Linked DNA regions of Saccharomyces cerevisiae S288C. The gene in region 2 interacts genetically with the main gene of each other region. Each region holds a gene or a part of one and is shown on either strand. Other genes may lie near its edges.

Region 1 (8,623 bases), on a different chromosome or scaffold from region 2:
GATTCTAGCATGATTGAACATAATTTCATCCAAAATCCCTTCGATATTAGATACAATATTGTTATAAATTACAGGCATATTTTTGGCCCTTGATGCACTCTGGTTGTCCCATTTTAAGATAAGACTTTCTGTTGTTCTTTGAATGCCAATAGTGATCTTACCCTTACTGTCCATTTTCCCATTCAGCCAATATCTAACTGTAATTGTACTTTTTTTAGAGTCATAGTTATGGATCAAATTACTTTTGGAAAATTTACCGCCGTTGGCCAGCTTTAAAAACTCTCTATGAACCATGTATAGCTGTAATGTCAACACGTATTTGTGCAGAAAATTGTATAGGGATAATAATGGATCATTACTTTTCAAAAGAATTTCATTGATCAACTTCTCTAATCTTGGCTTATTCAAAGGAAGGTTATTTCCGTTGGAACTTGAGTTTTCTTCATTGTTCTCACTATCGCCGTTAGTCGAAGTAGCTTCTGTAACTGCTGAAACAGTTTGTTCAGCTTCCGTGTTAAACAACAATTTTAAATCCACAAAAAACAGAGGGGACTGTCTATTAACAGTCGATAACTGGATTTCAAATTCATTAGGGACAGTAAAGTAGATTCTACCGTTTTTGATATGATAGCTGTTTAATGGTTTAGGAATGTTCATTAATGCAATTTTTATTGAGACAGTCAAGTTCAAATCTTTTAATCTCTGTAAAATCAATCCAATGGGAACTTTGGCCATTCCATCTACCATATCCATAGAGTTACTGACACCGCTTAATTTAAAGTTGTGTGTAGGTAGATTTGGCCTCCCAAGACTCAAAACTTCCAAAGCGGTGACCAAATCCACGTTGGGCAATTTAGCATTGGTCATAGAGTTTAGACTGCTTTTCAAAGCCCAAATACAATTGTTGACATTCATGTTAGTCGTTCTAAACCAGTTCAACAGATCGATTAGTACGTGAAAGTTGTTTTGTTTTATAGTACGGGTCCATTTCACAAGCACGTAAAGTTTCAAAAATTGTGTCCTTAGGAATATAATCAGCTGTAAGAAACGTATTTTCTTTGCGGAGTTAGGCTCATTTGCCTGGGTGTGAACATTAGTTTTCATGTACTGAGCAAGTTCCTTCATTGTAAATACCGTCAAGTTCCTTATTACTAATGCCAGACTGACTTGATTAATCTCAACATGCGGCAACGCTGGCGGAGGCGCACTTGTCATAGTCGCTGCACTTGTATCTTTCGGTACCATTTCTAGAGATTCTTTTTGGGTGGCCGTAGTTTCCGGGTCGGTTGCAGAAGGGCCATGCAGTTGAGTGTTCTTAACGGGACCCTGTTGCTCTTGCCCATTCTGCTCGGACCGGTTCTTCAGTGCGTGCATCTCGTTAGAAAGTCTCTCCTCATTAGCCAGCATTTGTGGGGATCCTATCGTGGTAGTCATTGCCCAGCCAAGAAAACCCTATACTTTCCTGCCACTTTTTAACTCTTTTTCTGATGATCTTTACAACAGACCTCTACTAAACAATTGAAAAATTCACCGTTTTTACTTGAACCAGCGACCGTGCGATGGGACAATCGTTTAGTTAACAATAAGCGGGACAAAGTAATTAAATTTAGTGGCATCTAGAGAGAATAATTGAACGCAATGAAGAGAGCATGGTACGTTGAATTGTAGAATGTGGGGGGATAGTATGCGCGAGCTTGGTGACGCTATGGATAATGAGTTGAATGCAGTGAAGCCGGTGGTGGAAGAAGGTGGCATGGATGGTGCCAGAAAATTTATTAAGGGTAAGAGCTTTCAGAAGTCTTCTACCGAACATATGTTGATTTCGCCCGGTAGGGATGGTTCAGTGCCATTGAATGGGTTGAAATCGTCGCCGGCAGACCCGCACTTGTCTGATGTTAATTCTATCTTGGACAATCATCGTGGCGGTGGCGAGACAGCTTTGACGTCTGTAAATAATATTATCATGGCCACTTCGACGAATGGGGACAGTGATGGGGTTGATGGAGATGCCAAGAGGCCGTCTATTTCTAACTGTTCGTCGAGATCATCATTTTTTGACACCGTACTGAGCACGTTTTCCCTAAAATCAAATTCACAAGATACGGTTACTAATGAAGTCAAAAATATTGAGGTCCAGTTTGCATCCGAGGAGGCTAATAAAAAATTCCGCCAAATGTTCAAGCCATTAGCTCCTAATACGAGACTTATTACGGACTACTTCTGCTACTTCCACAGAGAATTCCCCTATCAGGGCAGAATCTATCTCTCCAACACACATTTATGTTTCAACTCAACCGTGTTGAACTGGATGGCAAAGTTACAGATTCCCTTGAATGAAATTAAATATTTAGATAAGGTCACCACAAATTCAAGTGCTATTTCGGTGGAAACCGTGACTAACAGGTACACTTTTTCCGGATTCATAGCGAGAGACGAGGTTTTCCAATTGATTACAAGAGTTTGGTCAAAGGAAAACTTAACCAATATCAATGACGTTTTGGAGGTTGATGAGAGGGTCTCCAAGAAAAAGGGAATATCATCGACCCCTTCTTCCATATTCAACAATGTTTCTACCAATGCATATAACGATTTCATATCGACAACCACTACTGAACCAACAAGCAGGGCTTCCTACATGAGCGAGAACGACATGCTCATCGAGGAGGCCATAAGGTCCGTGGACGATTACATGGGCACACCAAGAGCATCGCCATCTTCTTCATCTTCGTCGTCATCGTCGTCATCGTCTTTAGGCTCTTCAACAACTTATTATTGTAGGCCCGTATATAGGTTAAAGCCAAACGCACCATTTCAATATGAGGGGCCATTCCATGTACAAGAAACCATGGACTTTCCTTATAAACCTGAGGCTAATAATGAATACGTGCTTCTGGAACGTCAATTCAGCGTTCCACCCGGCCTACTTTTCATTATGATGTTCAATGAAGATAATCCAGTTTTTGAGTTAAGCTTTTTGAAAACTCAAGATTCGTCCAACATCTCACACATAGGGACTTTTGAAAAAGTCAATAAAGATGGACAACATTACAGAGAATTCCAATACACCAAACAGCTGCATTTCCCTGTGGGGCCCAAATCCACAAACTGTGAGGTAGCGGAAATTCTTTTACACTGCGACTGGGAAAGGTACATAAATGTTTTAAGTATAACAAGAACACCAAATGTTCCTAGTGGTACCAGTTTCAGCACCAGAACGAGGTACATGTTCCGATGGGATGACCAGGGGCAAGGTTGCATATTAAAAATAAGTTTTTGGGTGGACTGGAACGCATCCAGTTGGATCAAGCCAATGGTAGAGAGCAATTGTAAAAATGGACAAATTAGCGCCACTAAGGACTTGGTAAAGTTAGTCGAAGAATTTGTAGAGAAATACGTGGAATTGAGCAAAGAAAAAGCAGATACACTCAAGCCGTTGCCCAGTGTTACATCTTTTGGATCACCTAGGAAAGTGGCAGCACCGGAGCTGACGATGGTACAGCCGGAGTCGAAACCAGAAGCTGAGGCGGAAATCTCAGAAATAGGCAGCGACAGATGGAGGTTTAACTGGGTGAACATAATAATCTTGGTGCTCTTGGTGTTAAATCTGCTGTATTTAATGAAGTTGAACAAGAAGATGGATAAGCTGACGAACCTCATGACCCACAAGGACGAAGTTGTAGCGCACGCGACTCTATTGGACATACCAGCCAAAGTACAATGGTCAAGACCAAGAAGGGGAGACGTGTTGTAACAGAGTAATCATGTAATATTGTATGTAAGGTTATGTATGTTCGTATGGTATGGAAAAAAAAAAAAAAAAAGGATGCTATGTGGAGAATGTAAGGCGTGGTAGCTCCGGATAATTCAGTCTGTAGGCTTCATCACGGGCAGTGGCCTGACTCTGAGAGCTTGCTCCGGTATTAAGTTGTGCGTTTGAAATTTTCTGGAAAAAAGAAATTGATTGGTTGAAGCTATACTCGTCGAAAGATTTCTTCGGCAGTGGTTGTTGCTCCACCTGCACGGGAGTTGTGTTTGCGTTTATGTTCGGCTTGGCTATATTATTAGCGAGTGATGTTTGCAATTTGCTGTATTGAGAATCAATTTGGGTGCGTAAGCTTTCAATAATTTTGCAGACCGCAGGCACTTCCAACTTTATGAGTTGCAGGTATTCTCTTTTATGAATATACGATGACGACGATGACGACGACGCATCCATGCGCAAAAGCTCAGGGTGTCTAGATAGTTTGTTAGTCAATAAATCCACATATCTAAAATAATAAATAAACGACAGCGACAAGTCGTTGGCCTGGAACGCACACTGTGCCTTTTCCAATATGCCGATGCATGTTTTCAGGTAAATTCTCAATGGTATCGCCGGATTGAAGCGATAATCCTTAGCGTCCTGAACCAATTGCTTACTAGACTTCATGACCTACCGGGGCCAGATAAAGATGCGGAAGGAAGAGAAAAAATGTATAGTGGTTGGTGAACCGCAACAATAATTCGTGCCAACACTTTAATCGAAGCAAAAATTGTCTTGTATGTTATTAATATTATCTATCTAACCATTGATTTACGTATAAAACTGTCGATGCTCATCGCCTAGCAATGAAAAAATTTTTTCTTTTTTTTTTCATTATTTCTCTTTGTTGCGTACTTTTTTTCATTGCGTTTCGCGGCAAAAGCGATTCGAGTTGACTGGAAGTGTGTTATACTATAAAAAGTGTATATGCCTATTTTTGGTTCTGATCTTTACTTTACTGTTAAGTACTGGCTGAGGCAGTAGACTCTGCCTCTGTTACGGCAGCGGTATTCGCCTCGGCATCAGCAGCCGCCCACGGTAGAGTAGGTTCTGTTGTTTTGACGTTTGCCAAGGTACTGTCCAAATGCTCCTTCAGCAAGGCCTCATTACTTTCCTTCTCCGGACCCACCGATTGCGTGATCTCCTGTACACGGTTCAAGAACTTGTTCAAATTGTAGCCCGCAGCAGCATCAGAGACTTCTTGTGTGTAAGGGACACCCCTCAACTCCTTGACTCTTCTTTTGTGCACTTTGCCCTTTAAATGCGTTTTTAACGCTATAGCAGTCTCCATGTATTTGGCACAGTGTATGCAATAGTGCTGACCAAGGCCCGGTTTGGTTTCATCCAATGGCTGGTTCAGAAGCTTCTGTACTGATTCCTTGGTGGACAAATCGTTATAGATCAGGTCCAAGTCTCGTGTTCTTCTTTTAGTCTTGTATCTCTTCACCGAATATCTACCCATGATGCGCTATTGTTTTATCTTCACTTGTCTGTGTGTTTAACTGCCTTTCAATTCACCTCATCTCATCTCCCGCTACTTTCCATATATAAAAGCAAAATTAATTTGCTTTTTCCCCTGTCAGTATAAAAAAATTTTCCGCAGGATATAGAAAAAAAAGAAATGAAATTATAGTAGCGGTTATTTCCGTGGGGTGCTTTTTTACACCTGTACATCTTTTCCCTCCGTACATTTTTTTTATTTTTTTTTTTGGTTTTTTTTTTTCGATATTTTTCCCTCCGAAACTAGTTAGCACAATAATGCTGACTAAGGAAACTTTTCATCTCAGAATTGATGGTCAGTTTGGTTTCTCTAGAGAATAGTTTATAAAAAGATGTTGATGTGGAGCAACCATTTATACATCCTTTCCGCAAGTGCTTTTGGAGTGGGACTTTCAAACTTTAAAGTACAGTATATCAAATAACTAATTCAAGATGGCTAGAAGACCAGCTAGATGTTACAGATACCAAAAGAACAAGCCTTACCCAAAGTCTAGATACAACAGAGCTGTTCCAGACTCCAAGATCAGAATCTACGATTTGGGTAAGAAGAAGGCTACCGTCGATGAATTCCCATTGTGTGTCCATTTGGTTTCCAACGAATTGGAACAATTGTCTTCTGAAGCTTTGGAAGCTGCTCGTATCTGTGCCAACAAGTACATGACTACTGTCTCCGGTAGAGATGCTTTCCACTTAAGAGTCAGAGTCCATCCTTTCCATGTCTTGAGAATCAACAAGATGTTGTCTTGTGCCGGTGCGGATAGATTGCAACAAGGTATGAGAGGTGCTTGGGGTAAGCCACACGGTTTGGCCGCTCGTGTCGACATTGGTCAAATTATCTTCTCTGTCAGAACCAAGGACAGCAACAAGGATGTTGTCGTTGAAGGTTTGAGAAGAGCCAGATACAAGTTCCCAGGTCAACAAAAGATTATTTTGTCTAAGAAGTGGGGTTTCACCAACTTGGACAGACCAGAATACTTGAAGAAGAGAGAAGCTGGTGAAGTCAAGGACGACGGTGCTTTCGTTAAGTTCTTGTCCAAGAAGGGTTCTTTGGAAAACAACATCAGAGAATTCCCAGAATACTTTGCTGCTCAAGCTTAAGTTCTTTTCAAACATTTGAACTAACTTAAAAGAGAAATTTTTTTGATTTAAATTCTAGTTTATTAAACAGTAAATATATTTATACATTATTGTAATACATATAATTATGTGTTTTTTTAAAGTTCAGCATGTTGGGTAGTGATATATCCTGAAGTCAATGGACACTGTTGCTTTTTGTATACCAGCAGGAAAAAAAAAAGCCTGAGCTGCAGTAACGAAGAATTGTTGAATGCGTCTAACAAGAAAGGGAGCAATCGATAACAGGGACGTGCGCCGCTAATGTCATTCAGATTATTCACGAGGACTTCTCAACGTCTCCCTCGCCTTAACTGGGTTAGTCCCATCAGGCGATACGCCAAACAACCTCAATACGATGAAGCAGAGTTGTTTGCAGAGAACATTAACCATGGCGCATATAAAGCAAAGAAAAGGCCATCAGACGAGCATTTCCAATGGCCTGAGAAGTCTCCTGATCAGATCACAAAGGAATCTGAACTCCAATGGGAAAGGATGGCGAAATTATCTGCTGTTGGGCAAGGGATCCTCATTCTCGTGGTAGTGGGTGGGTTGGGAACGGCCTACTTGCGTTGGCCAGAATTAAAATCCTGGTGGTTAATCAAGATGAATGGCGGTCGCATAAATGCAACGCAAGAGCAAAGTGGACAGGATTCGTTGGAAAAATTGATCAGACAAAAGGCCAAAAATCTATTAAGGGAGATTCCTCAAGTGCCTGCCTTTCAACTTGGAATAGATCATCCTGGTGTATACATATGGGGAAGGTGTCATTCTAAGGACTCATTGTTCCCTGTTAGAGTACCTAATTTGGATGGTCGTAAATTCAGAGATATCCTATTAGCTCCCTCTGACGATTTCAACACCAATTTTGCAATTGACGAGAAAGGCGATTTGATATCGTGGGATGATTTGGGACAAACAAAAACGATATTGCCAGATCAAGATTTGACCTCAATGAAGTATTCTAGTCACTTTTTGTACGCTTTGAATAAAAAGGGTGAAATATTGGTCATACCTATAAGAACGCCGGATCTGATAGCTTCGCAAGTATCATCAAGAAGGTCGAAATTGTTGCCATGGAAGACAAAACTAAGATATGATTGGAAATTACAAACAAATCAGATTTTCAACGGTAAGGAAGGAGAAAAACGTGTAGTACAATTTGACGCTGGTAGCCATCATCTGGTGTTGCTATCTAATTTAGGTAAGGCTTATTGCTGCGCGACGGGAAATGATCAAAAACAAGCTCAAGTATCCAAAGGACAATTCGGTATACCAACATTCTCACAATTCGATGAGTTTCCTCCCAATAATCAACTATTCGAAATTGAACTGCTGAACAAATTTAAGCATGAAGGAGAAGACGTTGTCCGCAAAAGAGAAATTAAAAAGATAGCTTGCGGGTCGTACCATACACTGGCAATAGATAAGACTGGTGAAATTTATGCCTTTGGCTGGAATAGGTTCGGCCAATTGGCACTACCTATTTCGTACAATCTAGAATATGTTTCTTTCCCAAGATCGGTAACGCATGCATTTAAACCGCATTTCCCGGGGATGACGAATTGGAAATGTGTGGATATTCATTGTGATGATGAAACATCGTTTGTGACCATTCGTAAGCCTGGCTCAACGTCAGACCATCATTATTTCGCGTTTGGTAATGGACTTTTTGGTGAATTGGGCAACAACACTTTCAAGAACTCGCAATGTGATCCCATAAAAATCAAGTCGGATGACAAGAAATTGACCAACTGGAGTTGCGGCTCTCATTGTGTGTTCACTGAAACTGAACAAGAAAACGAGGTCATTGCATGGGGTAATAACGACCATGGCCAACTAGGTATTGGAAAGAAAACTATGAAATGCGCTAAGCCAATGAACATTCCCGAAGTTCTCAAACCAGGACAAGACACGACAGATTTGGACTCAATTTATAACAGTAAATTACACTTAAAAAAGGAGCAACGTGTAGTCACCAATGGTAATAAAAGTTGCTTATACTGGCGGGTTTGAGAAACGAAAGAGCATAGAAGGAAAGTAGCGAGATTCGCGATGTTTTTTCAACCCTTATAATGATGCATGTATATATGGTATGTTTATTTATATATAGAACTCACGGTTACTTCTATCTTAACCATTTCAACACATAATAAATACCTATGATCAAGAGAATTAACGCGATCCAAAAGACTAGTTTATCTTTGA
Region 2 (8,453 bases):
GCGTACTCAATTCGTAATCGGCGGCATAATTTTGGGCTCTTAGCAGCCATTCCCTACATTCATTCAAACTTTCCATGCCACCCAGTTTCCAACAGAATAAAGCTCTCTCATAAAGAGCGGCTGGATATGCCCATGGGTCTTCGGTTTTTTTGAAATATTTGACTTTGCCATTTTGAATGTAGAATATTTTTGGCAGAACAATGTCATCTAACAAGGCTAAACCTCTTTCAGCATCCCCCAATCTTCTTAAGGTCAAGGATAGTAGTAAGTTTCTGATCAGCTCTTGATCTGGGTCTTCCGAATCAATGGCGGGGTTGTGATACTCTGTCAACATCTTTTTGGTCAAAATTAAATCGTTTTCAGTCATCCTGTTGTAACCGTTGTAGAAATAAGCCAGTTCATGGACAGGTGATGTTGCTATTGAGTCTAGTGGTTCTTGTAGGTTTAATTTCTTCTGCATATTATTAAATTGTTGAACTTTTCTAAGCATGAATCTATCCAATGGAAGATTTTTGGATTTGAACGTTTTCTTACCTAACAAAGATGGAGCGTCAAATATGAGTTCTCGAGCCCGCTCTTTATAGAATTGTTCTTTACCGTCATTTAATAAGCCTAATTGTGTCATCCTCCAATTTTCCAAGTAACAGCAACCCGCAAAATAAGTGTACAATGCGTGAGACCAATCACTAATATCAAGCAAACTTATTAAATCATCGGCAGCTCTGTTGTATTCGTGTAAGTTGACTAAAAGGATCGCACGTTCAAACACCATCAACGATTTCACTTGTCTCATACGGATACTATTGACATCAATAGAGTCCATTAGGGCCAGAGAATCACGAAGCCTGCCCTTTCCAGCAAGCATTTTGGCCTCATTTAGCAGCCACAGGGCACTATTAGGAAAAAGTGCTCTTGCTTTTAGTAATGCGTCCTCCAGAATTTTTCCAGGATGCAATAAGGTTGCACTGTCCATATAACCTGGTAAAAGGCTACTATCGTTTGTTCTGCTTTTGTTTAAAGCCCTCGATCCATTATCGTTTGGTGGTATATCAAAGTCAGCATCTGTAAATTGGAAAGGACCGTCGTAATAAAACATCAGACCTAACAAACCTATACACCCGTGAACATTTCTCTCCTTTGTAGCCTTCCAAACTAGCCTCAAACCTTCTTCACGGGATCCCTTGAATCCAACAATAGATAGCACAGCACCGATTGCAGGTGGAAGTAAGGATAAGACGACTTGCAAGATACCATAGCATAAATTAGCACCTGAATGGATGAATTCGTCGATGGTAGCCTGTTCTAAATCGAAATCATCTGAAACAGAATGGCGGTCGGAAGCTTGAGACGGAGTCGTCTGTAAACCCAAATCATCCCTTAACCTATGAAAAGATGGAGTATTGCCAATATGGGCACCTGATAACCTTCCCATTCTCATCGTGTAGATTTTTTCAGCAAATTCCAATAGGAGTGGATTGGACTTGTCCTCGGAAGACAATTTGTATGGTATATCAACCGATATGAAAGTTGTCTCTGCAGAAACAAAACTTCCGCATGACTCTTGGCTCTTTTCGCTTGGAGAGGGAGAGCTCGAATTTTTCGATCGTTCAGCTTTTTTGACAGTAACCATGATATCTTGTAACATTGTATAAGCCCTCCTTAACTTTAGCAAAGCCTTGGCTGCTTCCATCATGCTTTCACTAAATAACATCAACAAGGCATGCAACAGACATGACTCAGTATATGTTACAGCATAGACAGTACCGGGAGGATATATTGAACTGCTCCTAAAATTGGTCTTTTCAGCATTTTGCTTACTTTTCCAGGACATTTGCTCAGCTTTGCCTAAAGTAATTGCAGCTCTTTTCATTTCTTCAGTTTCAAAACTCAAAGTGGCTTGAAGAAATTCAATAACACCTCTTGCCAAAGTCAAGATAGTTTGATCTGAACCAGTTTCCATTTCAGCTTTTTTCAGCAAATTCAACCCTTCATCCGTTCTATCATCAAGGACAAAATCCATTGCCTTTAAGGCGATCTCAAAGTCATTAGCCTGCTTCAGAACCTGTTTTGTCTTTGTTGATTGCTCTTCACCAGAAGATTGATTACCCTTTGATCCAAATGAACCAAATACTCTAAACATCTTCTACTATCTTTCGTTTTGGCGCACTGTTTGCCCTTCCTCCTATTATGTTCTATTTCTTTCTATCAGGTAATTCCTATACCGGTAACAAGACGCTTATATATACAATTCGCTATATATACTGATAGAAATATGCAAAAGGAAGAATGAGTGAAAAGAGCATTGGAAAATAAATTTAGTAATACAAAGGTGGGGAGAATATGAATTAAATAATCCGAGGGACGAAATTAGAAAATAGCCCAAGATAGGGGGTGGGGGTACCGCTGGAAAGACAAAGACTATAAGCATGAAATGAAAAACGACCATTATGCTCGAGAGATCTGGAGACAAATAAAGCAAAAGGTCCGACGAACAAAATCCGCGGAACGGAAAAACTTCTAAAAGTGAAGGAAAATTGAGAAAAAAAAAAAAAAAGATAATATTTTCATTTCTTTCATTCGTCCTTTCGTTGTATACATAAGGGTCATTGTTAACTCATCGTCATTCATTATTAACACAGGAAGAGAACTTCTGCAAATAATGCCAGGCATCATATTCTGACATTTCTGAGATCGCGTTTGATGTTTTTCAATTCCTGTCGGACTGAAAGCTTTGATGGCTTATCTAGAGGGTTATTAGCGTTGTGATAGTGATCGGAAGTGGCAGGCTTCACGTTAATTGTACCGAGAACATAGCCGTCAACGCTATTCCAAACTCTCTGGTCCAGCTCATTCGTTAGCTTTCGGCCATAGAGACATTGATCAACCAGCCACATGCCCACTATAAACGATTTTCTGTCTAAGGTACCGTCTTTTCTTGTGTCGACCATATTGTATATTTGCACTAGAAGATCCCTGGGTAGGTTTGATCGATACCATATATCTTTTACGACTAAGTTAAGCATCAGGCCGTCTTGCGGTAAATTTAAGGGCTGTAAGTGAGACTCGTCGTCTTCATTCGCGAGAGAGGGCCACCACGGCAGCAAGCGCAAATACGAGTATCTGTTTGATACCCACATAGACTCGTATCTTTTTCTTTCTTGTTCGGTAATAAACCCGAGATCTCTATGAGATTTCCACGGTTTATCTTCATTGAATTTGTGAGAACTTGTATGATGGTGCGTGTGTAAGTGATGAGAATTCGGGTTATGGAGCTGATGGTGATGATGATGGTGATGAGGGAACGGAAGGACAGAGGTACTACTCCCAACTACAGCTGCTGTTGTTTTCAACCCCTTCTTTATCTTAGAGCGACGACTTTTCTTCTTCTTGTCCTTGATTTCCATCACATTAGAATCTTCATCTGTGTCTGAGTCTGATGATACAGACTTTCTGTCGTAGGGAAAAGTTTCATCATTGTCTGTAATTGCGTACTTCCCGCGCCTCATAGTTGTCTTTAACTTTACATTTTGCTGCGTGTTTATGATTGCCCTACCATTCTGCGTTTGGTCCGAATACACACGTGATAAGTTTTCTTGCTGCTGCTCAGGTGATCGTAAAAGCCTGTGCTTGAACCTGGGTTTACTTGTCTTCCTTTGGCTTCGCGGTATTAGGTCGGGTAAAGTGCCTTTATATATTATATTTCCTCCATTGAGTTTATTCATTGCCGTATAGTCTGACTCTTGCTGCCGCTGTGAGGGGTCCGTTAGAGAAGCCTTTGCTGAGGCTTTGGACGCAAGACTATAAGAAGACATGGAAGGTTCAGGAGGAAATGCCTCATCGGTGCTTTTTTCTCTATAAGAAGTTTCTTCTCCATCGGAACTTATGGAACACGATGATGACAGCGAGGTAGAGTAGGATACTTGTGGCGAAATAGATCGTGAACGAACATTATTATCATATGACGGCGGAGGTATCCTCATTCTGTTCAATTGCAGCTCATTTTTCAAGGCTGAAGGAGCACGTGGCGGTTTTGTTTCAGTATCCATAACTGGATCCCGGCTGCCGACACCGGATGATCTGTTACTAAATGAATTTGTGTGGGCTAGGTATGCAGCTGTCTCTGCAGCTGCTATACTACTTGGCGAATTTGACGCTTTATTCCTTACATCATAATGGATTGTCTGCAGAGGAGTCGTCGGTACGGAAAAGGCTTCAGAATGGCCTGGAAGCGTTTCCCTAGAGTATTGATGATTTATACTTCTCGGTTCCGGTTGTCTCATCCTCGGCAAAGAAGGCTCAGATTTCACGACAGGCGCAGATTCCACCTTTAGATGTCTCGGCCTCTCTGCGCTACCGGCATTGCCATTGGGGTGGGCATATCTCTTGAAAGTAATCTGAGCAGCAGTTAAAGAATCTTGGAGAGCTTCCTTCGGCAATTCCACCACGGAGAGATTTCCGGAATGCTTTTTTTTGGGGAAATGCATTTATACAAACGTCAGGGCGTGTATTCTCCGGCACTAAATCGACTCTTCCTTGTATAGGCCATCCCGCACTCTTCATCAATTACTAAAAAGGAACCAAATACGTCACTTTATAACCAATTTATTGATGTCGAACGGAGAGCAACTCCCTTGCGCCATCTATCGCGCGCCGTCCCAAAAAGAAAAAAAGCAAAAAAAACATAATTTGAAGAAGGTTCTCTCAGCGGCTAACCTTTCTTCATTCTCAATTATAACAATAATGATACAAATACTGGCCCTGATCAATAGTTTGTCATGACAGCCGTTAAGACCAAACCATATTGCTGTAGTTCATCTCATCCCACTGTTTCATTCATCACCCAAAAATTCATCGCTCCTTTCCCCAATACATATAACACCTTTTTCCTTTTTTAAATTAGTGACGCCTCTGTGAGAGGGTTCAGTACCCATTCCTCCATGGCAACAACTCTCATTTCTCAACGCCTTCACCTATCACTCTTCACTGTCATTTCTTTTTGCTTTGTTATTCTGCTAAATGTCTTTCATTGGTTTTCCTTTATTAAAACATTCTCTGGAGGATTTGCAGTTTCGGAAAAAAGAAATTTAATCCGATATGGTCCAATTTGGGAAAAAAAAAAGACTTGGCTAGTTCTCCTTTTCGTCTTTTAAGAATAGGTACTAATTACGCTACAAGCAGTCTGTGAGTATTGAGAGAGACTAAAAAGGGCAAATTAGTCTGTAGACTTCGCTATTCATTACCGTTAGTCCTTTATTTTTTTAACGTTGAAACATCTTTTTTTTTTTTCCAGCCTTTCTCATTGTAGATCAGTCATTTTTCAAGATGCCCATGGACCAATCTATCTCATCTCCATTGTTTCCCATGGAAAAGGATATTGATATCCCCCTCGATGCTACACCCTTGGCACAAAGTTCATCATTACAGCTTTTTATTCATTTAGCTGAACCAGTTGTTTTCCTCCAAGGCTTTGACCCTCAGAAGACGGAATATCCCTCGGTTGTTCTTCGGGGCTGTCTAGTGGTAAGAATACTGAAACCCACAAAGCTGAAAAGCATAAGTCTTTCGTTCAAAGGATATTCTAGAACTGAATGGCCTGAAGGTATCCCTCCTAAAAGACAAGAATTCGTGGAAATCAAAGATATTGTAGACCATACATGGGCTCTATATCCGCCAACTGAACAGAAGAGCAAGAAAAAGATGGATGCTTCCGCACCTAATGAGAGCAACAATGCAGCTAATAATTTTTTGACGAAGGAAAGTGGTGCCTCTCTTTATAGAACACTGTCTGATAATGAAACTATAACAAGCAGAAAAAATTCTATATCAGGTTTGTCCTCGTTGAACTTGTCACCTCTAGGTGCACCTGGAAATTCCTCTGTCAACGTAAAAGACAGAGAAAGTAGACAAAGATCTAGATCTTCGTCAGTCACTTCTTCCAATGGACCATCAAGAAACCTATCCCCGATAAATTTATTGAAGAGAGCCACGTCTCCTTCCGTGTCTCACCACAACTATAAACCTACGACCACTTCCATCTTTTCCGACTTGTTGAATAACACCTTTACCCATAATGATGCAGCATCGCATCATGGTCATCATATCCCCACCAGTAGCAATCATCTGGCAATGACAAGCAACAACTTCACCAGCGGGTCTGGAGGAGAATTTTTTGTCTTTCAACCAGGCGACTATATTTATGCTTTCGAAGAACTAATTCCTCAAGCATACCCAGAATCTATTAAAGCTGATTTCGGATTTGTGGAATACTTCTTATTTGCCAGTATAGAGAGACCTGGTGCCTTTAAATCAAACATTAGCGCCCGGCAAGTGGTTAATATCGTACGGACACAGGCTCATAATTCTGTGGAAGAAAGTGAGCCGATTATCATATCTAGAGATTGGGAAAACCAATTATATTATGATATCGTTATAGCATCAAAGGATATTATTTTAGATGCTTTTCTGCCTATCACGTTCAAATTCGCTCCCCTCGATAAAGTTACGTTGCATAGAATAAGAATTTATGTGACAGAGACAATGGAGTATTATTGTAGAGAAAAGAAGGTTCATAGGATGGAGCCCACCAAGAAATTTTTATTGACAGAACAGAAAGGTCCTAAATTACCGAACTTGCCCAATGATGCAAATTTGTCAAAGGCCAAGAATATGGGGAACCTGTTGCAGGATCCAAAGAATGGTGATTTAGTGAATAAAGAGTATGAGTACCAGATTTTTATTCCGAGTCGTTTCAACAACCATCAGCAATTGCATCCAGATACTTCTTATGAAAACATCAAAGCAAACCATTGGATTAAAATTTGCCTGAGACTGTCTAGAGTAGTAGATAATAAAAGGAAACATTACGAAATTAGTATTGACTCGCCAATACATGTTTTACATAGATTGTGCTCGCATGCAAATACCCTTTTACCGAGCTATGATGGACATCCTGCTTCTTTTCCAAAAGAAACAGATTCCTCAATTTCCTCAATATTGGAATCGTCTGATGACAATATAAATCTATACCATAACTCTAATATTTTCTTTCCCAAGGAAGTCCTTTCGTCTCCAGTACTTTCGCCCAATGTCCAACCATTAGACATTTTAATCCCACATTTACCTTCCACTTCATTGACCAGAAACTCTAGGCAATTCAATAGGAACTCAAAATCCCATCCGAGTGATAATACCATCTTCAATTCTGCAAAGTTGAAATCCAACATATATCAACCGGAGAGTTTGCAAAGAGAATTAGCATCACCCCAGGCAATCCCGCTCTCTCCAATAACATCGCCAATGTCAAATATGGAAGTGCCTCCGCCAGATTTTGACTTTTCTTCCGATTTCATATCTGATGCTGCTTCCGGAACCACTACTACTGAGGTATCTTCATCAGAGTCGAGCATCTTACCACGGGATCCACCATCTTATAAGGATACTGTGTTGCATGACAACAATCAAAAAAGGAGGCCTAATTCCAAACATCCGACGCCTCCAAGTTTAAAAGCTTCCCATCCAAATAAAAATTCGGATAAGAATTCTTCAGAAACTTTGAATAAAAAAGAATCGATGTCAAAGATAGAAGAAAATAAACACAAAAGAGAGACAACTCCTAAAAAGAGAGAAAATAGGGACGTGAAAAGTTTATCAACCCCACAACGCGAGGAAAGCAAAGACTCGACATCCACTGGGAATCAAAGTAACGAAAAGAACAGAAAAAGAGTATTAAGCCTATCGTCTTCATTACATAGCTCACCAAATAATAGCGGATTTGCGCATTCAGCTTTAGGAAATCTGAGCAATGAATCATTAAGATCATTGAATAGAAGGGAAAGTGTTCAAGATAATTTACCGTCCACAATAAGACACGATAATCCTTTTTTCACAGATTTAAATCAAGTTTTAATAGAAGACGAACTTAAAAATCATGATAAAAATGAACTAAATCGACATTCTACAAATACTTCGAGCACCCCCGCCTCAGCTAGATCCTCTTTTGACTATTCAGGAATTAATATAAGCAAGGACAAGTTGAACATGGAACCATTACTGAGTAAAACGGAAACGTTGACTAATAAAGTTAATGAAGACTCCTTTTTAAGGCCTAATGATTCATACGTTGATCTACTTGAACCCTCAGTAGATACTACGATTGATATCACTGCGCCGTACGCTAGAAATTCCTCTGCTTGGCATCCTTTACAAAACGATAACGATAACAATCAGTTTTCTCCACTTTTGGGAAGTAACGAGAATTTCTTGAATGCAGCTAATGCACAAAATTCTGCCGAATCAGATCATAATAATGACATTTTCACACAGGGCTCAGGATTAACGGAAAGCTCTAAGAATTCTGATTCCGAGGAAAGATTTATTTCAAGACTTTCTTCACCCGAGAAAGTACTGATTAATACGTTAGATAATGAATCTGGATTACAAAGTATAAATGAGAG
Region 3 (7,660 bases), on a different chromosome or scaffold from region 2:
TATTTGTATTTACGTATTAAACTATATATAAATAGATATGTATGCCGAAAAAGTAAAGTCTGGGTGATGCCTAGTCCAATCTTTCTTACTACTGTCCAGTTTCTATCGTAGCAGTTAATTATACATAGAACTGTGTAAATTCAACGCATTAATTTTTTTTTTTTTCACTTTCGCAGTTAGGGGGGACACATTTTTTTTGCCCTTTCTTAAGCTTCGTAAGCGAGTTACATCATTATTTCTTCCTGGGATACAATACGCGTTCGTACAAGTCACAGCTGGACCGTATAGGGAACAAGACTGCAACTCTCTCCAACTTGTTAAACAGAGGAGGAAAAGAAAGAGGGAAAAGAGGAACAAAGACAATCAAAGAAAAAGAATAGAAAGCAGTTGCTGAGCTCTTGGCATATTGTATACGGTAGTGGCGTATAATATAGTACGAGAATTAGAAATATGACGAATATGGCGGAGGATAAAACAAGTATAAGCAAGGTACATTCTGAATTCAGCAATTCCTCGAATACCACTGGATCTGAAGAGGAGAGTCGGTCGCATCAAGAGAGCTTCGACGGCGAGTCCAGTTCCGGTGAAAGTAAAAGTAAAAGCAAACTAAATCTTGAATATTCTGCAGATATCGAGCCATTGAAGTTCAGAATGACAAAAACTAATAATACAAATGACAAATTAAAATATAGTAACAACGGCAACGCCACTGATTCATTTATGAGACTAAAGGAACATTTACAGAGAGGCAATACTTTAAATTCGAATCTTAGGGTCAATGAGTTTTACCCTTTCAATTCCATTGATACAGAGCAATTTGAAAACTATTTGAGAGAGCCAAAATACATTAAAATGTTGAAACGTCGGAAAAACCTGAAACAATTTAGAAGATTGTTTCTCGCGCAAGAACTAATGGCCTACGAAGGTGAAACGGTTACCTCCACTTCCAAATCATCTGAACCAACCTCTAAAGCTATATGGAGTACAAAGTTTAGCCGCGATGGAAAATTTATGGCCACTGGTAGCAAAGATGGTAAAATAAGAATATGGAAAGTTATTGGCTCTCCAGTTGAAAGAGCCGAATTGGACTCGAGTGCGGAATCAAATAAAGAGGCACGAGCCAAGTCGATGCGGATCAAACAGCAGGTCAGTTCATTGAACAATCCAAAAGAAAAACAATTTTTGGATTCTGCTACAGAGAAATACGAAGAGAAGGAAAAATTATTGAATTTGTATGCGCCTGTCTTTCACCCAACGCCTTTGCGACTGTATAAAGAACACGTGCAAGATGTTCTGGATATAAATTGGTCTAAAAATAATTTTATTTTGTCAGCATCGATGGATAAGACAGTAAAACTATGGCATCCCGATAGGAAAAATTCACTTAAGACATTCATACATCCTGATTTTGTCACTTGTGTGGAATTTCACCCCACCGACGATAGATTTTTCATTAGCGGCTGTCTGGATCACAAATGCAGGTTATGGTCTATACTGGATGATGAAGTTAGCTTTGAGTACGATTGTCAAGACTTAATAACATCTGTTACATTATCCCCTGAGGAGGGAAAATACACTATAATAGGAACATTTAATGGATACGTTCATATTCTGATGACCAGAGGTCTCACTCCAGTTTCTTCATTTCACGTAGCTGATAGACAAACACAAGAACAAAACGCTCACGTCATGGTCACGGAAACTGACTCAAAAATTCGTCATGGTCCACGTGTGACGGGTTTGCAAGCTTTTAGATCTCAACTGGACAATTCTTTCCGCTTAGTAGTTACATCGAATGATTCGAGGATAAGAATTTTTGACTTAGAACAGAGGAAGCTTCTAGAGGTATTGAAAGGCTTCCATAGCGGATCTTCCCAACACAAGGCACAATTGTCCATCTGGCATGGTCAGCCAATCGTTGTAAATAGTAGTGATGACCATTGGGTTTACGGCTGGAGGTTAAAGTCTTCGGATAGAGAGAATGATCAAGACGAACCTAAAAGGAAACCAAAGGGATTGGCTCGGTCCGGAAGTTTGAGAAGCATATTTAGTAAATCAATGAGTAGGTCTTCCAGCCAGAATAACGAAGAAAAACCACATCATCATTTAAAACTTACTAACTTACTTCCCTTGCCTCATCATAGCAACGATCATTATATCAAAAATACGGATTACATTTCTTTTCATGCACACAATGCCCCTGTTACTTGTGTTAGCATTGCACCGCCAGAAACTTCGAAAACATTATCTTTGTCTAACGATGTTATCTGCGAGCTATCTCTAGAGTTTTTTCAGACATCCGATAGTTTCGATGTTTTGAGTCGGAGTAACGACGATGGCATAATGTCAGATGTAGAGTCGTCTTTGGGCTACAATTCTAAACCAGGCTCAATTTCTAATGCTTCCGCCACCAGTGCTATCCCAGATGTCGTTGACGCAATTGGAACGATATTGATCAGTACTGATAACGTAGGGACTATTCGTGTGTTTAGAGCAGATATGCCCTCTGTTATAAGAAAGCGCGTGTTACTCAAACTAGAAGAATACAATAGAGAGGTTCGGAGAAGGTTTAACAGTTCTGATTCTTTGCATTCTTTGAGTCGAAGCTTCAACTCGAGAGCGAAATCAAACTTGGCTGGCCAACCGGCAGCGGCGTATACTAATACTGGAAAAGGCTATGCAACGGGACGTGGATACTCTAATATATGTCCCAAAAGCAGTACATCACTAAAAACACTCGGCAGTAATGCACAGCCAAGAACACCAAGGGAAAGCATGTCATCTATTTTCTCCAATGCACATGGGCCTACCACTCCAACGAGCGCAATGAATTTACCTATCCGTTGCAATGTTTGTAACGGTTCAAGGTTTGAGGCTTTTTCTGGTGCTAATGACCAACAAGATAGAAACTATTATTGCGTAGACTGCGGTACAGTAGTTAATAACTTCCGCTAACGCTGATGGAGTATTTTTTTTCCGTGGATGATACCTTTAAATGCATATTAATCTTCGTACATAAAGTAAAGAAACACGATACACTTAAATAAATTTTAATCTAATAATTAATGAACGCTAACAATGAGCCTATCATTTGTTGCCGATATACTATAACGTATCTCTTCGAAAGAACAAAACGGAGTGAGTGCCTGTTAAGGGTAACTACTCCAAACTGAGTGGACCTCGGCGGCTAAAGCTATACTTTTTCTGTTATTTAAGGGACCTAAAAATACACACAGAGTAGATTAAGATTTGGTGCACTTTTCTCAATTTATCAACTTATAAAGAACAGGCTGCCTTTCAAACATAGGACGTTTCTGTTGACCATAATGAAAATGCCCAGTATTATTCAGATTCAGTTTGTAGCCCTAAAAAGGCTTTTGGTAGAAACCAAAGAACAGATGTGCTTCGCAGTGAAAAGTATATTTCAGAGAGTATTTGCGTGGGTTATGTCATTAAGCTTGTTTTCATGGTTTTATGTAAATCTTCAGAATATTTTGATAAAAGCATTAAGGGTAGGGCCAGTGCCTGAACATGTCTCCTTTATCATGGATGGTAACCGGAGATATGCCAAGTCAAGAAGGCTACCAGTAAAAAAAGGCCATGAAGCTGGTGGGTTAACGTTACTAACACTACTGTATATCTGCAAAAGATTGGGTGTAAAATGTGTTTCCGCCTATGCATTTTCTATTGAAAATTTTAATAGACCAAAAGAAGAAGTAGATACGCTAATGAATTTGTTTACGGTAAAGCTTGATGAATTCGCAAAAAGAGCCAAGGACTATAAGGATCCCTTATACGGATCTAAAATAAGAATAGTAGGTGATCAATCTTTACTATCTCCAGAAATGAGAAAAAAAATTAAAAAAGTGGAAGAAATCACACAGGATGGAGACGATTTCACTTTATTTATATGTTTTCCTTACACTTCAAGAAATGATATGTTACATACTATTCGTGATTCAGTTGAAGACCATTTGGAAAATAAATCACCAAGGATTAATATAAGAAAATTTACTAATAAAATGTACATGGGTTTCCATTCCAATAAATGTGAATTATTAATCAGAACAAGTGGGCATAGGAGGCTCTCAGACTATATGCTATGGCAAGTACATGAAAATGCCACCATTGAATTTAGTGATACGTTGTGGCCAAATTTTAGCTTCTTTGCTATGTACCTGATGATTCTCAAATGGTCCTTCTTTTCCACCATTCAAAAATATAATGAGAAGAATCACTCATTGTTTGAAAAAATACATGAAAGCGTTCCTTCAATATTTAAAAAAAAGAAAACAGCTATGTCTTTGTACAACTTTCCAAACCCCCCCATTTCAGTTTCGGTTACAGGAGATGAATAAGTAAAAGTGCAAAACTAGAAAGCCCAAGAGAGGGCAAAGAACATTCTGAAAACTCCCTGATTCTTCCATACCTATTACCATATTACATCATTTTTAATTAGTAGTCTTTTAATTATCTATTATATCCGGTATATAAAATATCCTTGCGCCAAGTGTATAGCTAATAAAATGTAAAAAAAAAAAAAATTAGGAACAAAAAATAAAAAAAGCGAAAACAAAAAACTCCGTTAATGAATATTTCATGATCTTGTTAAACCTAGGTCATCGAAATCCCCTTGTACTTTACTCAGGTATGCTATTTTCATCCCTATTGCTTATTTCATCAGGTACGGTGGTGGATATATTAGGAGTGAACGTACTGGTAGAATTCGAAACATCAGCTGCTGTAGTAGCGGTGGCATTTAAAGAACTAGGCTCATTTGGGGTATTGACACCTGTGGTAGTATTCGTGGATCTCATATGACTTGATCCAACTTCGTGACACCAATACCTATGATATCCCCATGCTTTTAATTGACACTTTCGTGAGCAATATTTCGTTCTTTTGCATCGACGACATTTTGCAAATTGTCTTGGAAAATCTTCCCATTTTCCGCACGAAAAATTGGCACACTGACGCACACCTAAGATCTCATTTTTTCGACATGAATTTCTCATGATGACAGAACTCCAATATATAACATCATGTGTATTTTCTGCGCTCACTGTATATTTTTCGACTAAGGGGAAGATGTTTACAACATTTGTTAGTACCTTGTTTTTGTAAACAATATTTGTTAATTCCTTTTTCATTTTATCGTAGCTCCAGCGCCTTTCAAAGTTATCAGATATTTTCTTCCTTAAATTAATTCTTTCCTTGTCTTTGCCATAGGCATTGTCGTCGCTAGGTTTCGGTACACGGTAGCGCTCAAACAAATTAAGAACGGGACAGTGGTTATTACATATTTCATTTTGTTCTTCTTGTTGACATCTGTTTGAGAGTTCTTCTAATTCTTTGAAAAATGGATCCATTTTGCTAGTATCTAGTGCCTTAACTTTGGAATTGTTTTCAGGATTTTTCGATAAATAAGGATATAATGAAGACAATTTTACAGTTACGTCTCTTTCTTGTTCTTCTAAGTCATTCTCTTCTGAGATTCTCTGTTTAATTTTGTAAGCCATACTTCTGAACGATAGGGATTCAACCAGCTCAACATTTTGAAGGGTTGATTTCATATATGTATACTTCGAAACAAAAGCTAATAACTGAAGCGACCATATAACGTCGTCTTGTTTGGGGACAATTCTTCCGAGAAAAAATTCACGTGGAGTGGAAATTGTAGGTCTATTAATGTCTGGTTGCGAAAAGAAATTCTTATGTGCATCAAAATTTTCACTTTCTACTTCACTATCAATATCAATGTCGTCGTCGTGTCTTTCCTGGTCAGGTTCAAAATTGCTAGCTAGGTCTGCAAACCGGCCCCATATATCACTAAAATCAGTTGGAATTGTCATAGACGGTGCCACTAATCGTTCGTTTAGAAAATTTTTGTCAGTTGACAACTTCAATTTATCCTGACCTGTAATGAACTCTATATACTGCTGATATGTTTCATTCTCATCTTTTCTCATGAATTTATACATTGTCTCCGTGGTTATCCCTTTGAAGTCAAAGGTCATTGTTTGATCTTTGATGAAGTCGTAATTTTTATGATATAGTAAATAGTTATCCAATACTGTGACCAGCACAGATAAGACCCCAGACATTACCACTTTTTTACGAATTTGTTCTGTCCCTCTAGTACCTGTCAATACTAAGCACTGAAATGTTAAAGTCCATTTCCAAGCGCATAGTGCTAGTCTTTTCTCCTTCCATAGATCCTTTATGTTTTCGTGCTCATTAAAATTTTCTAAATCCAAATCCAGCAACTCAAACAAACTTAAATGACAACTCCTCAATATTGAGACTAATCTTTCGAGAGCACCGTCGTTAGCTACCGTTTCCCTAACTTTTGATGAATTAGAGGTTAGATATGTTAAGTAGTTTAGGGAGTTTATTAACGGAATACTAGAGTTGATATCCAATGCCCTTCGGTCATAGACAGTAGATGTTATTGTTACTATAGGCTTGTTCGACGTTAATGATCGATGATTAGAGTCTCTCATTTCTTTACCTTTTCTTTGTTTTGAATATTTCAAATTACGTTCTATACGCTGTTATGATATGTTAATATAGCAAAAACAAACAAAAACTCCCAGGGAAATGAATTGAAAAATGCAACAAATAGGGACCTCACCTTTGTATAATGGAAGATTCCCAAGTTTCACTTATAGTTGATCAATGGGTATGATGAAATTAGCAAAGTAAAAAAGGGAATGTTTAATGGTTCAACTTAGATAAATGGAAGGTTGAATATGAGAACCAACAAAAATAAAAAATAAATAAAGTCTCAAATTATCTATATCGCTCTAATGAGGAAGTCACTGTGCACACTTACAGAAACTATATAAAAAACGGATATTTTTCTCTTCAGGTAGGGAAGTTTGTCCAGCACTTTCTTCCTTGTGAGCTGCTCTAGGTCTTTCGTTTGTATAGGCCGACCATCAATAACCCAACTCTCAAATTTTGCCACTGAACACCCATACAATACATAACCAAAGTATTCTAGTTGTTATCCTAGCTCGATGCATTGTTGTAGTAGGCCTAATAAGAAGATAGTTCAACCAAGAAAAATAGTCAAAAGGCTTTTTGCCGTTTGAACCATCATAAACTTATGGAAGCCATCTAAATAATTTTCCTTTTTCCTGGTTCCTTTCTATGTATCCAAAGATATATATTAAGTAGCCCACTTCTAGCCAACTTCTAGCCCACTTCTTAGGTAGTAACTATACGCAGCTGCTCCAGGAGGGAAAGAAAAAACCAACGGTCTATATTGTAATAACTATTAGTTTTCTTTCTCTTTCCGTGGGCTTCAACGGCCTTTATATAGCTCTTATTATTCGGAGTTGCTATTGGCGGCTAATATCTTGCGAAAAACGTGAGAATATGAACTTTAAAGTACACATGACTCGATTACTGATAACAAAATTGAGAGGGAAATACATAAGTCAAAATAATAAATGTCTGATGGACCATCTAACAGTTCACCTCGATCTACATATATTTCAATGCGAGAATGATTAATTCTTGCCATTGACAAACAACCCTTTTACTGCCAGCGCCTTTCATAACCATGTAGTTTTATATGCCTAATTATAATAAAGCATGACATATAATGCCAACCCCATATTTATATAGTTAACTTGAAACCGAGATTCATCTA
Region 4 (7,670 bases), on a different chromosome or scaffold from region 2:
GCCAAAAAACGCCTGTATAAATTGATGATTGATAGTCCGCATCTAAAAAAAATTGAGGACTCTTTGTCCCATATATCAAAGGTTCTCAGTTACCTAAAACCCTTAGAAGTTGCAAGAAATGTTGTGATATCTCCTTTGAGTAACTACAATAGCGCTTTTTACAAAGGAGGTATCATGTTTCATGCAGTTTATGACGATGGATCCTCACGTAATATGATAGCTGCTGGAGGGAGGTATGACACTTTGATATCCTTTTTTGCCAGACCATCAGGAAAAAAGAGCAGCAATACTCGTAAGGCTGTAGGTTTCAACTTAGCGTGGGAAACAATATTCGGTATAGCCCAAAACTATTTCAAACTCGCTTCTGGAAATAGGATAAAGAAGAGAAATAGGTTTTTGAAAGATACAGCTGTTGATTGGAAGCCAAGCAGGTGTGATGTATTGATATCGAGTTTTTCGAACTCTTTGTTGGACACAATCGGGGTTACAATACTGAATACATTGTGGAAGCAAAACATTAAAGCGGATATGTTAAGGGATTGTTCCTCGGTGGATGATGTCGTTACTGGCGCTCAACAGGATGGTATAGACTGGATTTTGCTGATTAAGCAACAAGCGTATCCACTAACCAATCACAAGAGAAAGTACAAGCCATTAAAAATAAAAAAATTGAGCACTAATGTTGACATAGATTTAGATCTTGATGAGTTTTTAACCTTGTACCAACAAGAAACTGGTAATAAATCTTTGATCAACGATAGTCTCACTTTGGGCGATAAGGCTGATGAATTTAAAAGATGGGATGAAAACAGCAGTGCCGGTAGTAGTCAAGAAGGTGACATAGATGATGTTGTTGCTGGTTCGACTAATAATCAAAAGGTAATTTATGTTCCAAACATGGCTACAAGATCTAAGAAAGCTAATAAAAGGGAAAAGTGGGTTTATGAGGATGCAGCCAGAAATTCTTCGAATATGATATTACACAATTTATCCAATGCACCAATTATCACTGTTGATGCCTTAAGAGATGAAACTTTAGAAATAATCTCAATTACTTCTTTGGCTCAGAAGGAAGAATGGCTGAGAAAAGTTTTTGGGTCAGGTAATAACTCGACTCCTAGAAGCTTTGCCACGAGCATTTATAATAACCTCTCCAAAGAGGCTCATAAAGGGAATAGGTGGGCAATATTATACTGCCACAAAACCGGAAAATCATCTGTTATCGATTTACAGAGGTAGGCCTTTAAAGATCTGTGCGGCGCTATAACGCATCAGTTAAAGGTAAAGTATATACAATGTCTTAGATACTATATTTAGGCTAGCTGATTCATCTAATTCACCGTTGTAAAGGGGGTAGGTCACCTTTCTTATACATATTCCTGATACTAAAGACAAATGTAGGTTTAATGAGATGGTCTACTTCTTCTCTCCTTTCTCTACTTTCCATTTTGTATTTAATTTTTCGGTGAATATAAATGTGTGCGTATGTTGTGTGAGGCTCCTCTAGCTCCTACGGGAGACATTTAATAAATGATCATAATATGGCGTGAAGAATGCTTTCATTCAGAAGTTTGACTAGCACATTCGGTTTCGTATCACGATTCCAAATTAGACGGTTAGGAACTAGTTTATCAATACAGAATTTAGAAGTGCAAGATGGCCGTTGGAAAGGTAAACTAGCTACAGAGAAGAAGACCAATAGGGAACACAAGTCAGTGGATACGAATATCAAGACAATGAAGATGCTTAAAAACCCGAAGAATTCTACTCGCTATTTGAGACGAAGTTTTGTGCCAAACCACAGAAAGCAGGAGAATGGACGTGATATTCTGGAGGATTCTTTAAGTAAAGATCACTTAAAAGTGAAGAGTTGTATCACCATTACCACCGGAGAGGGTTATGATCTCAAAAGATGCATGAAATTGCTTACTATGCAAGGATTACAACCGACAAATTTGATACCTGATGAAATCGTGTCATTTAGTTATCAGGATAATGGCAATAAAGGTGACGTAATGATTTTAGGTCAAAATGGATCTATTGTAAGCTGGGGCTTCAGTGAATCTAGTGTTCGAAACTGCATAGTGCCTATAGTTAAAGCAGCGAGTTTAAATCCACTGAACGGAGAAGACTTTGAGACTGAGGACATGGATTATGTGGAAATAGAAGGGGAACAAGATTTTGATAAGCTTTCCAGTTTGGATAATAAGGTAACACCGAGAATTGCATGCGAAAGCTTTCTTTCTGGAGATTTGATAATAATTAACTCCTTGGATTCTGATCAAGGAATGCTAGATAAGGCGGCATTCTCAAGTGGGCTATCGAGAAGCACCAACTTGGCAGTCCTAGAAGAAGCAATGGAAAAACATATATCAAAGACCAGAACAATAACAGAAAATATTTCTAAGGGAACAAAGTTAAATCTAAGGTCAAGTGATGCATTAAAGTCAATAGGCCGCCTTTTTCTAATTAGAGGAAAGTTGAACCTCTATTCAGAACTAATTGAGACCCCTGATCTTTATTGGAGTGAACCTCAATTGGAAGAGATTTTTAAAAATGTTTCGAGGTATTTGGACATAGGCCCAAGAATAAATATTCTGAACAGCAAGCTGGACTATTCTACGGACGAGTGTCGAGCCCTCATCTCTCTTTTAAACGAGAGAAACAGCACTTTTTTGGAATGGATAATTATATACCTGATTGCTTTCGAACTGTGCTTTGAAATTTATCATTTCTACCAGAAATATTCTTCCTACTGCTCAGAACCCACGAATGATGATCTAGATGCTACAAAGTAAGAGATTTTTTTGTAAATAAGAGTTACTTTTGTATGTTGTATTACGGGCTCGAGTAATACCGGAGTGTCTTGACAATCCTGATATAAACAGTCTTAGGGAAGTAACCAGTTGTCAAAACGGTTTATCAGATTAATTCACGGAATGTTACTTATCTTATGTATTATATAAAATATGAATCATACTAAGTGGTGGAAGCGCGGAATCTCGGATCTAAACTGATTGTTCAAGCATTTATACGTTTGGGTAGTTCAGCTAGGGAAGGCCGTGTTTTATCTCATGTTGTTCGTTTTGTTATAAGGTTGTTTCATATGTGTTTTATGAACGTTTAGGATGACGTATTGTCATACTGACATATCTCATTTTGAGATACAACATTGTATATACACAGAACAATGAGAAAAAGTTCCACTCAGTAATTAATATTCTTTTACCCAACGTTTCCTTATAACGTTGTTATTGAAAAAGGGATATTATATGAATCCACGCACCTGATCTGGCTCTTAGAAGCGACTAAATAACTACATATGTAAGAGATCTGCTCCTGCCACAAGAGAAAGCGTTTTTTAGCGATAAAATCAAGATTTCTCATTTCCTAATTGCTTATGACGGACGACCTTCATTATTAGAACGTGCAAATGTGCATTAGCGTGTAATGATACATACGCAAATTACAATAAAAAATAAACATGTAAATAAATGAGCCCACTTAAAATAATATGACATATATTAGTTTGCACTGTCATGAAAACCCTGATAACGTGGTGTCATTTTTATTACACCCGTATATTCATCAGCCCGTCCTAACCTATCCGAACGACGCAGGATGGCCACTAACATCGCAAATAGTGTTATTACTTTTTCCATTTGGATGTTCTGCCCTATAATGTTACGCAGTTCCGAGCTTCGCTGACACGTGGGAGGTGGGATATAATATTTGCACGGGTTCTTTTTTGTGTCGTCTGGCGGAAAAAAATAGACTCGTCTCTTGTATGGCGCGCTAGTAATTTATTATTTGCGATGCGCAGAACCTTATCTTTTGTTTTCTATTCAGTATAAAACTTGAACGATTTCACCAGATGTTTGTACACTTTGATTCATTGCAGCCCAAATAGAATTTTTGTCAACTGCCATACCAAACTTGTTGAACTAAAAAAAAACGACAGCAATTGTTTTTCAACCTGACACCAAGATGGAAGATACCTCGAGGTGCATCGATGATGTACTGAAAATAGGACAACAGGAGAAGGAAATAAGACAGGCAGAGTTTTCTGACGCACAAGGGGAGAGAGAGGAGGTTAAGTGTATTGATTACACAGTAGATTTGGAAGCAGGTCTTCCGCGCCACGAGAGTAGTGGAAAAAGTAATACCCTCAAACAGTGTTATAACGCCGTTCTAGGGTTTCTCGAGGAACTCATCATCGTCATTATTATTGTGTTGCTGTTGTACAGTTTGACAATGGTAGGTCTTTTTTATGTGATGACGATGACGAAGTTTTTGTTTTAATAATAAGAATAATGGGATTTGTTTTCTTTCAAGATTTTTCTTTTGGATAGTACATGCCTTCAGAAATTAAGCAGGGAGGCAAAAGATAATATTTTCTCATATGCATTTATAGCCGAGCCTTTTTTCTTCGCAGTATGCGTTTGTTTTATAGTAATTTAATGATTTTTATGTTTTTGAACACCGCAGTCAAGAAAACAGTAGGAAAAAAACTGCGGGCGTCTTTCATACTGCCTTTAGTAGTAAGTGTAATTTTACAATCTATACGTACCGATATATATACATATATTAATGCATGCATGTATATGTATAAGCGTTGCTTTTATTTCAGTTTTTTCGTTAATATTAGATCTCGCGGGCATTTTCAGATGTAAGCATGGCTGCATACTTGTTTCTCTTTTCTGAATCCTCCTTTAAAAGCTGCAGTATTTGATCAGTTATTTTCTCAATAATGCTGTAAGCCTCGTGACAACATTTCATTAGCGTCAACGCATCCATTGGTAAACCACCCGCTTTGGAAACTTGTACCACTTCACGGTTTTTGTTTAGCGTAACCGTCAATACACCATCTCGCAGTAGTTCCTCTTTCAATGTTGCATCAATGATGGAAATTTCTGAGTTAGTCTCACCTTTTATGTTTTCCTCGGTGTCTTGAGGATTGAAGAAAGAAAAAGTTACACATATTGGAATATGCAGTATACCTAGTGGAACTGGCTCTCTTTCATTAACAGGATGAACAATGATCTGCTCGCCATGGACAGTTATATCTGGTTTCTTAAAATGCATCAATCCTGCCATGACGGCAATACACGAAGCGTCAATAAATCCACCATCACAATCCAGGAAATGTACATCAGCTCTCACAGCCCAGCATTTACTGCCAGCAACGATACATAGTCCTTCCACGTCCAATGCGCCCGACCGCCTAACAGATTTTTCAATTATTCTTGAACATAAAACTTCATCTTCCCCCGTGATATTTCCATTTTCAAATTGAGAACCAGCCATAGGAGATATTTCTGTAGATATTACAAATAATCCTTCAAATGGCCTGTCTTCGTATGGTTGTGCTATTTGACAACTAATCCTGCAGTGAACTTTGGTGTTGCCCATTTTTACGCTAACATCACCAAATTCTTTACCAAACGTTATTTCCACGTCACGAAATTGATCAAAGGAGCGGCCGTCCAACCTATAATTCTGTCTCAGTGCTTCTAAGATAAATTTTGACTCGGATGCGGATATCTCAATGTCTTTGGCCATTTGTCTTTTAATCTAATGTATATTCTGAACAATTTTGCAATCACTACGTCCTGTTGATTAATGTATCGAGACTGAAAGTTAGGAAGTTAGAAAAAAAACTTGAAAGTTGGTAAGGTAAATACAATCTAGCAACCGTTTCCTATTCCTTTATATTCAGACATTTGTTAACATCATCGAGGGAAAAGTTGTTAATTTTTTCTTGAATTCGAGAAAGGAAAAAAAAGGTAGCCCATTCGTTGGTAGTGACAATATTGTGTAATTATCTCGCACTGAGGTCATCACCACCGAGTTATAGCATTCAAATTGCTGTTTAATTATGATACTAGCTACTTACGTTTAAAAAATCCATCAATGGCCCCTTTTCCTATGGCTACTTTTGGTTTTTTATTTTGAACTATTTTTTTGGTAACTTTTTTCACTGGCAATGAAACCCTGCCATTCGAATTTAGGCCTACATTCATGGCACTTTTCATCAGTAATTCTCTTTCAGCATTCTGTAATTCGTTCGTAGTCTCGTAGTTTTCGAGTTCTATGAAGCTAGCTTTTATATCCGGATTTAGGCAACCACTATCCATTGTAGGTGAAAAGGTAAGTAAATTATGGTAGGCCGCCCTTGGAATCAGGGAAACTAAAAGATTTGTAGCCATAACTACCTTGTAGCACTGTTTTATTTCCGTTGGGGCATTTTTAAGTGTAGGGATACTTGGAGGAAAGTTTTCTACAATTTTTGATACCTTGCCTAACAAAAATTGTGTTATCATTGCAGATGTGATCTTGTAATAGACGTCACCAGCTTCCTCAATGGTTTCACTAACTTTTGCTAAGCCACTCTTGAGACGACTTAAAGAAATGTTTTCCCAATTCTTGTCATGGTTATCCGTTAAGAAATCATGGTAATCACGCACCGTAAGAAATTTCTCATTGGTTTTGCTGTTGCTTTTTTGGTTTTCACCAGTATCACTTGAATTGGAGTAATCTTGTTCATCTGCTGAAACACTGTTTCTATAGTAAAATCCAATCAAACTAAAAGCAATATCGTATAAAGAACAAAAGTGTATTTTGCTTGAGTTAAAAACATAACCATCGGTGGGATCAGACGTATTTACAATGAAAGTTGATTTGATCGGGTGATTTTCCTTAGTATAGTGATATTTATCATTTGCCAAATCTTCCTCATGTGAATACGAGGGCCCTTTGCCGAATTGAAAAGATCTTATTTCGTAAAGTTTTCCATTAATATTTTCGAAGAGCTCGATACGAGGTTTGGATGTAATATTGGAAGGTGGCGGCAGTGTAAAAGTGTTTATAGTTTTCGAAGTTTCATAATCGTCTGGTAAAATTATTAGTCGTTCTTCCCCCCCAATGTTGGAAACGGTCATGCTTTTTGTTCGAGAGGCCAGAAAAGAAAGTCAACTATTGCGACAGAATAAGATTAAATTTGTACTCGATTTGTTTCTGCTGTTGTACCAGAATCATTAACCAGATCTGACTTTAATTCTCATCGCGCTCGTGCTTTTGACAAACTTGTGAGAATGGAGTCTGTAGTGCCTTAAAAGGAAAAAAACGCGTTGTGGTTATGAATATGAGATTTCATAATCCAACTATGGCATCGACAACATTGAAAAGATAATGAGCTGGAAGTTGCTCCATTTTTTACCTTTTGAAATTTCTTCTTATATGTATATGCTCACTTTACTGACTAGTAAAATGTCGTGAAAATTTTTAGAGTTCCATTTTGGCTCAAGACAATGGCGCTACGAAGAAACGCCATACTTAAATTCCCCTCATGAACTTAGAAATTCACGAAAGAAGCTGAATCTTTACAGAATAAATTTGTAGAAGAATTTTTCTGTTCTTTTATGCTTTATTCGTTGCTGCTGTTGATAATCAGCGATAGCTGAATTTATTGAATAGAGAGGCCGGGAAACTTCGTGCTACTGTAGAACTGAGATATAGAATACATCACAACTGGATGTATTAGACAAGTTTAATTTACTAGGAAAAAAAAGCTCAGAAACTTACAATTCTAATTAATGACTAGAATTTCATATATGAATCCTAATTCAACGTGAAATTGGTGGACTTTTCAACTTGTCACACTCAAGTAG

Evidence for each region.
Region 1: mutations in TAX4 (region 2) and LAM6 together harm fitness more than expected from each alone (negative genetic interaction), as found in Saccharomyces cerevisiae (one large-scale study listed by BioGRID).
Region 3: mutations in TAX4 (region 2) and SRT1 together harm fitness more than expected from each alone (negative genetic interaction), as found in Saccharomyces cerevisiae (one large-scale study listed by BioGRID).
Region 4: mutations in TAX4 (region 2) and MRX10 together harm fitness more than expected from each alone (negative genetic interaction), as found in Saccharomyces cerevisiae (one large-scale study listed by BioGRID).

What each region holds. Positions count from the first base shown.
Region 1 is NC_001144.5:277,193-285,815, forward strand, and holds LAM6 (Lam6p), read left to right. Parts: upstream 1-1,669; coding exon 1,670-3,751; downstream 3,752-8,623. Other genes in the region: RGR1 (Rgr1p), read right to left, coding at 1-1,434; RFU1 (Rfu1p), read right to left, coding at 3,827-4,429; BUD20 (Bud20p), read right to left, coding at 4,764-5,264; 60S ribosomal protein uL16 RPL10, read left to right, coding at 5,735-6,400; FMP25 (Fmp25p), read left to right, coding at 6,680-8,431; BOS1 (Bos1p), read right to left, coding at 8,544-8,623.
Region 2 is NC_001142.9:274,872-283,324, reverse strand, and holds TAX4 (Tax4p), read right to left. Parts: upstream 4,485-8,453; coding exon 2,670-4,484; downstream 1-2,669. Other genes in the region: IML2 (Iml2p), read right to left, coding at 1-2,140; ALY2 (Aly2p), read left to right, coding at 5,323-8,453. UniProt on the Saccharomyces cerevisiae protein: With IRS4, acts as a positive regulator of INP51 activity and phosphatidylinositol 4,5-bisphosphate turnover. Negatively regulates signaling through the cell integrity pathway, including the MAP kinase SLT2.
Region 3 is NC_001145.3:465,143-472,802, reverse strand, and holds SRT1 (ditrans,polycis-polyprenyl diphosphate synthase), read left to right. Parts: upstream 1-3,326; coding exon 3,327-4,358; downstream 4,359-7,660. Other genes in the region: LAF1 (Laf1p), read left to right, coding at 451-2,955; MYND-type zinc finger protein MUB1, read right to left, coding at 4,641-6,503. UniProt on the Saccharomyces cerevisiae protein: With NUS1, forms the dehydrodolichyl diphosphate synthase (DDS) complex, an essential component of the dolichol monophosphate (Dol-P) biosynthetic machinery.
Region 4 is NC_001136.10:1,018,639-1,026,308, reverse strand, and holds MRX10 (Mrx10p), read left to right. Parts: upstream 1-1,553; coding exon 1,554-2,798; downstream 2,799-7,670. Other genes in the region: serine/threonine-protein kinase GCN2, read left to right, coding at 1-1,239; PHM6 (Phm6p), read left to right, coding at 3,988-4,302; exosome non-catalytic core subunit RRP45, read right to left, coding at 4,645-5,562; RNH202 (Rnh202p), read right to left, coding at 5,889-6,941. UniProt on the Saccharomyces cerevisiae protein: Component of MIOREX complexes, large expressome-like assemblies of ribosomes with factors involved in all the steps of post-transcriptional gene expression.